3 linked regions of the Tribolium castaneum genome follow. The protein of the gene in region 2 purifies or fractionates together with the protein of the main gene of each other region. This does not show direct contact. Links are inferred from orthologs where the notes say so. Each region holds a gene or a part of one and is shown on either strand. Other genes may lie near its edges.

What was found.
Region 1: the proteins of ksr (region 2) and Cdc37 purify together in Homo sapiens (affinity purification with mass spectrometry; 3 studies listed by BioGRID and IntAct, with this or other methods). This does not show direct contact. The link is inferred for Tribolium castaneum from reciprocal best matches to the Homo sapiens genes KSR2 and CDC37.
Region 3: the proteins of ksr (region 2) and 14-3-3epsilon purify together in Homo sapiens (affinity purification with mass spectrometry; 3 studies listed by BioGRID and IntAct, with this or other methods). This does not show direct contact. The link is inferred for Tribolium castaneum from reciprocal best matches to the Homo sapiens genes KSR2 and YWHAE.

What each region holds. Positions count from the first base shown.
Region 1 is NC_087398.1:2,273,083-2,276,359, reverse strand, and holds Cdc37 (hsp90 co-chaperone Cdc37), read right to left. Parts: upstream 2,148-3,277; 5' UTR 2,021-2,147; coding exon 1,988-2,020; intron 1,941-1,987; coding exon 1,650-1,940; intron 1,603-1,649; coding exon 1,324-1,602; intron 1,249-1,323; coding exon 760-1,248; 3' UTR 647-759; downstream 1-646. Other genes in the region: Spase25 (signal peptidase complex subunit 2), read right to left, coding at 1-89, 137-202, 295-330; queuosine 5'-phosphate N-glycosylase/hydrolase, read right to left, coding at 2,457-3,277. UniProt on the Homo sapiens protein: Co-chaperone that binds to numerous kinases and promotes their interaction with the Hsp90 complex, resulting in stabilization and promotion of their activity. Inhibits HSP90AA1 ATPase activity.
Region 2 is NC_087399.1:8,297,652-8,301,309, forward strand, and holds part of ksr (kinase suppressor of Ras 2), read left to right. Parts: intron 1-1,011; coding exon 1,012-1,305; intron 1,306-1,369; coding exon 1,370-1,758; intron 1,759-3,658. UniProt on the Homo sapiens protein: Location-regulated scaffold connecting MEK to RAF. Has very low protein kinase activity and can phosphorylate MAP2K1 at several Ser and Thr residues with very low efficiency (in vitro).
Region 3 is NC_087401.1:11,229,153-11,232,910, forward strand, and holds the start of 14-3-3epsilon (14-3-3 protein epsilon), read right to left. Parts: upstream 2,858-3,758; 5' UTR 2,755-2,857; coding exon 2,691-2,754; intron 1-2,690. UniProt on the Homo sapiens protein: Adapter protein implicated in the regulation of a large spectrum of both general and specialized signaling pathways. Binds to a large number of partners, usually by recognition of a phosphoserine or phosphothreonine motif.

The sequences.
Region 1 (3,277 bases), on a different chromosome or scaffold from region 2:
ATGGCAACTCCTACTGCAATACTACAAATTACAAGGCGCCCATCCATCAATTTAAAATTTTCTACGTAATGATACTTTTTAGTAAGTACCTAAAAAATACTATTATAACAATGAACAGGGAGTCACGGGACCTCACTTCTTTTACTGCATCGTCTATGGCATTTTTCACAGCTGAACCGTCCCATTTATTTATTTTAACAGGCTGCAACAATAGGTTATGAAGCCAAATTTACAATTTTTTCCGTATTTAAATAACAAGCGTGCAAATTACGTGTTCATTCATTTAAACTGTACCTTATCATCCTTTTCTTTGCTTTCTTTTGGGGCCATAATCTTAACTGACTGGTTAAATTTTCAATTTTTTATGTGGTGTTGTCGTGTCTTGTTGTTGCGACACGTCAAGTGATGCGTCAGAACACGAAATATGGGAAACGCGAAAATACACCAACATCGGTGAACAAAAGTAACTACGCTTTTTCAAAAGAACGGGTTTTACCAAATATTTTTTTTAAATAACGTTGATTGTTATATCTGCCACTGAAACTGTAAATTCGTTTGGCTATTATTTTTTTCAAGTGGATGATTAATTTAAGTCAGTGAGAGAAAATGCGGGAATTGGGATGGGTATAAGAAAGTTTACGTCAAGTTTATAAAGTAAAGAAATTTATTAATCTTCAAGCATTCCTAATAAATTAATACAATAAATTTGCATTCTTAGGAAATAAAGGCTAAATAACAAAAATTGTAAAGCAAGTGACTTTAGGGTTTTGACTGCTCATCAGAAGGCCCAGCTTCTTCTTCTTCCTTCTTTTTGGCATCAGGTATCCAAAGACCCGCAGCAACACACCTCTTCATGTGATAGTTGGCCTCTTCTTCATCCATTTCCTTGATTGTGTCTTGCAACATTTGGATGTCTTGCGTCTCGAAACATTTTCGTAAATTCTCGGGAAGACTTTCCAAGACTTCAAGCTGATCTAACCCTCCTGGCCCTATCCTCGCTTTCCTCTCCTCCTCCTCTGCTTCTTTTATGGCCTCTTCAATCTTCTCAGCTGCGCGTCGTCTGATCCTCTCCTTAAACTGGTCTAATTCATCGTCAAACGATTTTTTGTAAAGAGGATCAGCTATTTGGATTTTGGAGAAAAAGGGGTCCACGCAGCCGCGAGGGTCGTAGTCTAATTGTTTGGCTAGTTCTAGGATGTACTGCATGCAGATGGTCTGGTGCGCCACGTGCTCCATAAGGTCATGTTTCTAATTAAAAGAACAATACATAATTTACCCCAACAACTCAGTGTTGCCAATATACATTTTTTGCCACAATCTTACCTCTTCCATTTCTAAATTGATGCACCAGATGACGAGGTAATTAGCTGTGTCTTCGCAAACCAATTCAAGGTGGTCCCTGAGAAAAGCCCGAGAGTCTTCATAACGTCGCAACATTCCAAAGTGCTTCAAATTCTTCTCGTTTTCTTTTACAAAATTTTTCATGCGACTTTCCTTCTCTTCATCCGTTAATTGTTCGTCCTTCGGTCTCGGAGCTTTCTTATTAATAACAGTCTTTGCAAAACCTGGCTGACTAATTGTGTCCACATTCCACGGGGCCATCTGTAAATCACTAAATAAACATTAGAAGAACTAACATTCGTACAAACTTTTTCTTTCTTCTCGTGTTCTTCCTGTTTCTTCTTAATCGCTTCCATTTCCTTCTCCAGCGCGGCCAGAGCGTCCTTAAGTTCCCTCAAATTCGCATCTCCGGCCTTCTCGGCTTCCGCCAGCTTCTGCTTGGCTTGCGAGACCTTCTTAGCATTTTCCTCCCTCTTTATCTGGATTTCTTCCGCTTCTTTCTTCATTTCTTCCATGCGCTCAACTCTGGCCTGGTGCCTCCACCGGAAAAGTGAAGGGGTGTCAATATTTGGATGCGTCTCATCCTCATCGTCGGAAATCTGCAAAGCACCACCTAACCTCATTTTTTCCTCCCAGACTTCACTACCTCAATATTCTTCCACTTGCTGTAATCGACCATGACGCCAATGCGAATTTTGATTCCTCCAAGAAAATACAACAATAAAACACTTGCACTTTTGAAATAAACAACAAACGTCACTTTGCTGCTCCTCCGCCCTCTGGCTGGCTTTCGCGAAACGTCGGCAGAGGATCATGGGTAGGGAGACGAGGGCAAATAAAATTCCAGAATATTCTTTCAATCATAATCTAATACTTTAACTTTAAAAACATTGACACGATTAATCTTAAAAATTACTGATATGAAATAAAACATGACAGCATAGTTGGCAATGAAAAAGTACGGTTCGGTTTGTAACAATTGTAACCATGACTACCACCAAAATGCCATATCAAAGTTTCATGGCCAACCGCTCCCTGAAATTTTCGATTAATTACTAATAAATTAGCACATTGATTCGGTCAACTCCAATTTTAACTTGATATTGTCGTTCGATTTAGTAATAAATGGAGAACGTTTTGTGGAACGGCAACTTCTTCTCCACGATTTCCTTGTTATGTTCGCGTCTGAAGTCCCACAAGAAGTGATCGATCAAAATGGCATTGATTTTCGTATCAGTTAGTTTTTTATTGGCATGTTCTTTTAGCAGCTCGACCGCATGGATGGAGCAAGCTCTGATCTCCACTTCGTCCTCTTCCCCGTTTTCGAGAATTTTGTTGTCTTGCAGTTTCTTCTTCAAATCTTCGCTGTACTCAAACACCCCGAAATATAGGAGAGATTGTGGGATTCTATAATCCGCAAACATTGTTATTTCATCGATATCTTTAAAGTGCCCAAGTCCTTCGTTCTTGAAACAGGCCCAAATGTCGCCAATTAAAATCTGCGCCCGCTTGTAAATCGCAATTTTCTTGTCTTTGTAAGTCGCTTCGTCCTTGAAGCACTTGAAATTGTTGACGATTAGGTCCAGAAGGGCCACAGCGCTCTTGTCAGCCTTTTTCACGCAATTTTCAAACGAACCGTCGAAAGTTTCAAGAAGGACGTTCCCAACTTCGTGCAAGCATTTGACGCGTTCCTGGAGGAGTGGAATTGGGACATCGTTGTCGCTTCTGAATATTTTCGCAAGGTCTTTTTCGGACACTTCAGAGTAGTATTTCGAGTTCAAAATATCCACTTTTTCCTTCACGGCTCGATTAATAGCCGCACAAAGGGCAAAATAACCAGTGTAGCCCTCCACAGTCCAGCCAGCTTCGGTTTCTAAGTGCCAGAAGCAAAAATTCAGAGTGTCCACGACAAATAACCAGTCAAGGGCTTTGGGAT
Region 2 (3,658 bases):
TTATAGCAAAAAACTGAAAGCAGATACAGATTCAGTACGTTTGAATCTTTGTGTTTAGAATAATTTTATTTAAAGGAGGATTTATTATTGCAGACCAGAGGAATTAAATAAACAACAACAGCAAGTGACAGAATGAATATTTACTCATTTGAAAAAGTTTAAAATTTGTGCTTATCATAGAAATATTAAATTTTCTTCAAATTGAACCAAAACAATGAGGAAAATTTAGAATAAAGCGATGACATTAAGTCGAACACGTTAAACATACAGTCATAGGATTTAGATTTATTTTTACCAGACGAAATAAAAAAATCTTGAAATTAGTTTAGTTTGAATTTTTGAATTGAATTTGCATTTGAATTTATTTGCAAAGTTCTAATTGAGAGATTAAAATTATGTTCGGTTTGTTACGTACAATATTTTTTAAATGAAACAAACACCAGAGTAGCATTTTATCAAAGTTGATTTAAGATGATCCTCTCATTTTATTAAATGAAATTAAAAATACATTATTACTAAACATTTTCAAAGTTTTTGTTATTTTATTACAGAATTCACTTTACTTTAAAAAGAGAAGGAAATTTTTGGTGTTCAAAAATTGGAAAATTCTATTTTCAACTTTTTTTTCTCTGGCTGAAATGAGTCGCTAACTCGCTCGGAATTAGTCGATTGTTTTTATTTCGACCTACTTGGTGACCTTTAGCTTCAACATAATCTCGCAGTGATTTCTGACTTAAAATCAATCTAAATTCAAACGAATTTTTTCTTTGATGGTGGAAACACTTAGGGACATCTGAAGGTATTTTTAAAAATTCGTAGAATCTATGCGAATTGTGTTCGGCTCTCAAGATCTTTTTAAAAAAAAAATAATTGTTTTTTTTTAACAAAGAACGATCGTTAGGGCATTTGGTGTGAGATATATTGGAAAGTGTCCGCCTGAAATTTGGTGGTTTAGAGATGTTTGAAATGTGTGGAATCGCCCCGAAGTTGTTATATGTGCACGATTTGTAGGAATGAAATTCCCGACAACGCCGCCGGCCCGCCGCAAGCACCTGACCGGAATTCAAAATCCAGTATTGTTGTCTGAATCGTTCCCCTTAACCAAAAGCAAATCGCATGAGTCACAATTGGCAAAGGGCGATAACGGTGAACTACCCAGCGGTGAAAAGGGTTCTGGGAAGCGGTCAAGGTTACCGACTGAGCCAGGACCTGACACTGATTACACAAGTCCGATCCTGACCAGTCCCATCAAGTCACCCCCATATAATAACACCGGAACCGATAGTGACGACAATAGTTACAAATGTGAGTGTCAACAATTGCCACGTTGCGGTACGGTTTCTAATTTAATATTGACGACGTTTTGTAGCAGCGCCGAGTCTCCAAGTGCCCAAATCACCGAGGACACCGACGCCGGTGGGGCGCAGCATGGCACATCAGATTAATCATAGGTTTACGAAAACGTTTAAGATGATTGCGACGTGTGGATATTGCCAGAAACCGATCTATTTCGGAGCGGGATTAAAGTGTAAAGAGTGCAAGTATACTTGCCATAGGGAGTGCGAGGATAGGGTCACACCCTCTTGCGGATTGCCACCGGAATTACTCGACGAATTTAAGAAGAAATTGTCGTGTGAAGTACAGGTTTTTCCCTCGCCTAATCCGAGCAGGGCTAGCAATACGAAAAATATTATCAATTCGCTCAGGATGAGGAAGAGGTCGCATCCGCAGCCTTCGATCAACATTGCGCCGTTTCCGGTACGTTTTTTCTTATTTATGGTACAGTATTTGGTATTTTTATGCGGTTTTCAACTGTCTGGGAGCAATTTATTTATAAGATAGAAAAAAATTGCTTCAGGTGATCAGTGGAGAGGCGAAGGGCTGAAGCATAATGAAAATAAAAATAAAATAAATAAAAGATGGAAGCTTAATGCTGTTTTGTTTTGTTTAATTAATAATTATTTTTCTGGCTTGACAACATGCTAAAAAGCTTAAAAAATGCTATTTGTGACCTATTTTAGTTTTTATTGTTTTAAGTATTCGAAAAAGGCAAAGATTATATTATTTTTAATTCATTTAAAATATTTTTGCAATTTTTTTGAAAACAAAATCGCTCGTTAAAAGCAAAACTTACAATACTTTCCAAGTTTTTTTACATCACATTAACGAAACTAAATATTATTGATAATAATAATCATTAAAATTATATTTCAAATGTTAGATTGTTATATCATATGTGTAAATAATATGATTTTTTGAAACCTTCTGTGCTCAAAAACCTGTTCTAGCGTTTGAAAAAGACAAAAGTAATACTATTTTCCATTCAACTGGGGTGATTTTTGATGAATTTTTTGATTATAAACGTTCTAAATCGCAAAAATAGTAAAATGATATTATTTTATGTTCAATTTATTGATTTTTCAGTTCGGTTTAGCAAAATTTCGCAAAAACTGCGTGTTTGTATCAGTAAAAATTATAGATAATAATCATTAAATTAAATTTTAAATGATAGATTTTTATATCAAGAAATCTAAAAAATGCTTAAATAATATCATTTTCGTCCATTTTTTTGATTTTATTAATTTCGTTTTTGGACAAAACCTGTTCTAGCGTCCGAAAAAGGCAAAAATGATAAAATTTTCGACCCAATTCGGATGATTTTTGAAGGGTAATTTTTGATTAAAAACGCTCTATTATAGTAAAATATTATTTTTGATCGAATTTATTGATTTTTCAGACCGGTTTAGCAAAAAAAAAACTGCGTTGTTTTTTTCAACACTCGTAAAATGCACAAATTGGCGTCATTTTTTGCTTAACTTTGAAAGTTTTCGATTAATTTGTTATAAAATTTGACCGAACAATTGCGTTTCTAACTGAAAATATGCAGAAGCACCCAAAAAAGCGAAATAATGTACGTTTCAATCTAATTTAGTGATTTTTGACTGATTTTTTAGATTACTTGCGAAATAATTGGGATTCTCATTCTTTAATTGAGTTATTAAATTATGCTTTAATGATATTCATTAGGAAATAGACAAAATTATCTCACTTGAATATAGACAATAATAATAAATAGTAATAATAATAAAAGTTAATTTAGTGCTAGAAAGATCTTATTCACACGTCAACAGAATACATGAAATACATAATTAGTATGTAATAATAATAATCAGAGAAATCTAATCACTTGTTAAGGAAAGCCCTTGACAACTGAAAATATTCATCTTTACTGCACAAAGGTTTCGTTAGAAGAATTTTTTAACAACTTTTTCTAATGTAATTGTATTCAAAAATAAAAATAAAATGCACTAACCTGGCATCTTTTGCTACAGTTTGTAGCAAGTTCATCGCATTATCTTCTTAAGAGAACCTATTGAAATAAAAAACAATGAAATTAGAACATTGTGCTTTAAGTTAGTTAAAAATATTACAGATTTAAAGTGAAAGAAAGGAAAGTATTGTAAACTGACTAACCCTTTAATTCGGATTGTTTCCACTTTTTCTCGTAAAAACCTGATTTCAATTATGAGGCGTGCGCTCGCGTCAAGAACAACTAACAAACTGAATAAAATTAAACGGCAGAACAATAATTGTGGAAGAAAATGAATAAAAAGTCACCATCAAAAAATATAATCTGTCAGATAACAAATTGTTAAAA
Region 3 (3,758 bases), on a different chromosome or scaffold from region 2:
ATTTTGGTCAAAACCGCATTTCGCTATCGTCTTTTGTTTTCGACTTATAAACAAAAGTTGACATTTTAGTGAAATCTTAAAAAAAAAACATCTTCCTTATTATAAAAGATACACATTTAAAACAAAGACATTATACAGGCACTTTTTGCCAAAGAATTTAATAATGTTATCAGCAATTTTTTTTAATCATTCGTTTAGCTGTAATAACATAAAGTTGTATTTTTTTTAAATGAGAATCATAGTTGACTATGACATTTTTGAAAAGCTTATTTTTTTCTGATTTGATATGTCTATTTGTCTTATTGTTTTCTGAACTCAAAACAACATAAATATAGTGAGATATTTTTATATATTTTTGATAAAAAAAATTTAAATTTTTTAAAGTAGTTGGCCATGGAAAAATTATTTCACATAAAAGGTGTGAATAATCTAGAAAGTTTGTGAACGGTTTTTAAAGTAAAAAATGTGAAATTATCAAAATAAGCTATGTTAAAGTTATTTTCAATTGAATAAATATACGAGCGTCGCAGATTTTAATTACATAAAAAATGTACAGAAAATAGCAAACGATATGTCACTACCATTTGATGTCACTTTTTTATGATTTAGTAAAGTGCAATGGAGGTGACATTGATAATGTTGTATATTTTTTTACTGCAGGTGGAATTTGATTTTGGAGTTTGAATTGTCATTTTTTTGTAAAATAAAATTTTATTGATGCGCAATCATAAGATTTTTCTTCTTCCGTCATTGCATGTTTAAAATTTGAAAATATGTAGAAATACAACGTAAGCTTGCCATTTTATATAAAAACAAATAATTTTTATTAATTGCAAAAATTTGATCTAATAAAAATTTATTATGCTGTTTTTGAATTAATTAGGGTTTAAAAAATCATCAAATTATAATTACTGTTAGGTAATACAATTTTCATAGTTTTAATTACAAATCCAAAATTTTTTCATGGCCAACTATAAAGAAAAAGCGAAATGTTTTGTTTTTTCTTAATTATTTAAATTTAACGTATGACACAAATAGACATTAAATCAGAAAAAAATAAGCTTTTCGAAAATGTCATTGCCAACTATGATTCCTATTTAAAAAAAATATAACTTTATGTTATTACAGTTAAACGAATGGTTGAAAAAAATCGCTGATAACATTATTAGATTCTCTGAAAAAAAGTGCCTGTATAATGTATTTTTTTCAAATGTGTATCTTTTATAATAAGGAAGATATGATTTTTTTAAGATTTCGCTAAAATGTCAACTTCTGTTGAGATTTAAAATTATTTTCTCAAAAAACGAAGGCTGGTTTCCAGTGAGCAAAGGCGTTTATTAATCGGTGTTTCAATTTTCAATAGAATTTTTCGCTTTCGTAACACATTTGTTCATTAAAATGCGTTTTGTACTTTCTCATCATTTACATCACGTTATTTGATTACTCATCGAGCATAACACAAACTTGAAATTTAAACAGGACATTCAACTCAGTCTTCCCTTATTGATAAGAGAATCGATCAGTTGATAAAAATGAATTATCGTTTCTCGGTGAATTACCGGGAATTAAATTACATCTATAAAACTGTCCAAACTAATCCAACCTGTTATAAAACAATGTACAATCAAATGCAATAAAATTGTCCAAACATGGCAACTTGTCACATTTTTTCGATATCTATCAACTTCGACAAAAATGGTGAGGTGGATGAATCACCAGCCAAACGCAATGTTGGTACATTTCCGGCTTAATTAATATTTCACAAATGTTGAATGTAAAAGCCGGTGACATTTTTGACGCATTTTTTGTTAACTGTTGACAAAGTAAAAAAACTAATTTCGTCGTTGCAATAATTTAAGTTCAAGGACTTGACGACATACGAAACTGTCAACAGTTTGTGTTTGTTTGTGATAACACCATCGACTTTGTTTACTTTCTATTTTGTAAAATTAAAAATTGAATAACTTTAGTTGCATTTAAATTTTAAAACAAGTAGGCCATTGTATCGACAATTTCACTCCTTCTGACTGTACTTATTAGTGATTTTTAAATGCCAACTGTGTAACGTAAAACGTAAAAAATTCACCGTTTGTATTAAAAATTGACGCGATGAAAAATTTAGGCAAGAACTCTCCCGTTTTTACGTCTCGCCGTTTCGTGAGCGAACAAATAATTCAATAAAATGTTTACCCCCCAAACCCCCTAAATTTCGCAGTCAAGTTACCCGCCCCCGACGTGCATCTTTTGTTGGTAATTTCGGTAAATCCTCATTCTTCTCTGCGATTATCGATTGGCATTCGCCGCCGCCGTCGCGCTGCCACCCCCGACCCCTGTGCAGGCCGCCCTCAAAAATCAATCCCGTTTTAAAAATGCAGCGTAAAATTCCGCCGCAAATGGGACAAGGTCGGGGGCAGAATCCGCCACCCCCATCACGTGACGCACGTGCAAAACCGGAAGTTACGCAATAGGCAGTGGGCCGGTGTCGCGAAAATTCTGACATTTGGCTTTTTTCCGGCGGGGGCTGCGGGGCCGGGCGCCGATCGATGAGTCACCCGCGCGGAATGCACACGGGGGCGCAGCCCCGCCGCCGCCCGGGCGCGGGGCACCCCCGCGGCGGAAAATGGAGGAGCGTCCCGAGATGATGGCCGTTTGGGCCGGGAGGAGGCCGAATCGGGGGGAAATATACGCACCATCGTAACGTTCGGCCTGTTCTGCCAATTTCGCCTTGTAGACGTTATCCTCCCGTTCAGACATTTTGCGATGATTATCGATAGAAATTTCACAACACTAAAAAACACAGACACTCAACGTACTGCCAATATGGCCGCGCCCGCCACACTAAACCCGAACGCGATCGGACGCACATCGGCTGCCTCCGGCCCACGTCACAATGGCGCCAAATTGAATAAATAATTATTTAATCCTGCTTATCTTTCACACACTGCATGCCACAATAATTAAATTATGCGTCCTAATGGACAGCATTCGATTGACAATAAGGGACTGTTTTTAGAAGCGTCGTTTCCAGATCAGGGGAATTGGACCAATCAGATGCTCAGATTTACGAACTAATGCCAGTTTAAATTTTAATCACTGATTAGAAGACGCTTTACGGCTACTTTGGTGTTAACTGAGTGTGTTTATACAGAAGTAGAGCAAAAATAACAATTTAGGCCACTTAAAAATACAGATAAAAAATTTATGCACAAATAGGGGATTTCCGAAACTAAAAGGTTTAGAGAAAAACAAGACACATTTTCCGGTCCGCTTTTTGAGAAAATAATTTTGGTCAAAACCGCATCTCGCTATAGTTTTTTGTTTTCGACTTATAAACAAAAGTTGATATTTTGGCCAAATGTTAAAAAATTTATATCTTCCTTATTATAAAATATAGACATTTGAAACAAAGACGTTATATGGCTTTTTTTTATAGAGAATTTAATTATGGTATCAGTGAATTTTTTTAATAAATCGTTTAGCTGTAATAACATAAAGTTGTATTTCTTTAAATAGAAATCATAGTTGGCTATGACATTTTCGAAAAGCTTATTTTTTTTTAAACTGAAAATAATATAAATACAGTTTGATATTTTTATATATTTTTGATAAAAAATATATTTAAAATATTTGAAAGCAGTTGGCCATGGAAAAATTATTTCACATAAAAGGTGTGAATAATCTAGAAATTTTGTGAACGGTTATTAAAGTAAAAAAATGTGAAATTATGAAAATAATCTATGTTTAAGTTATTTCCAATT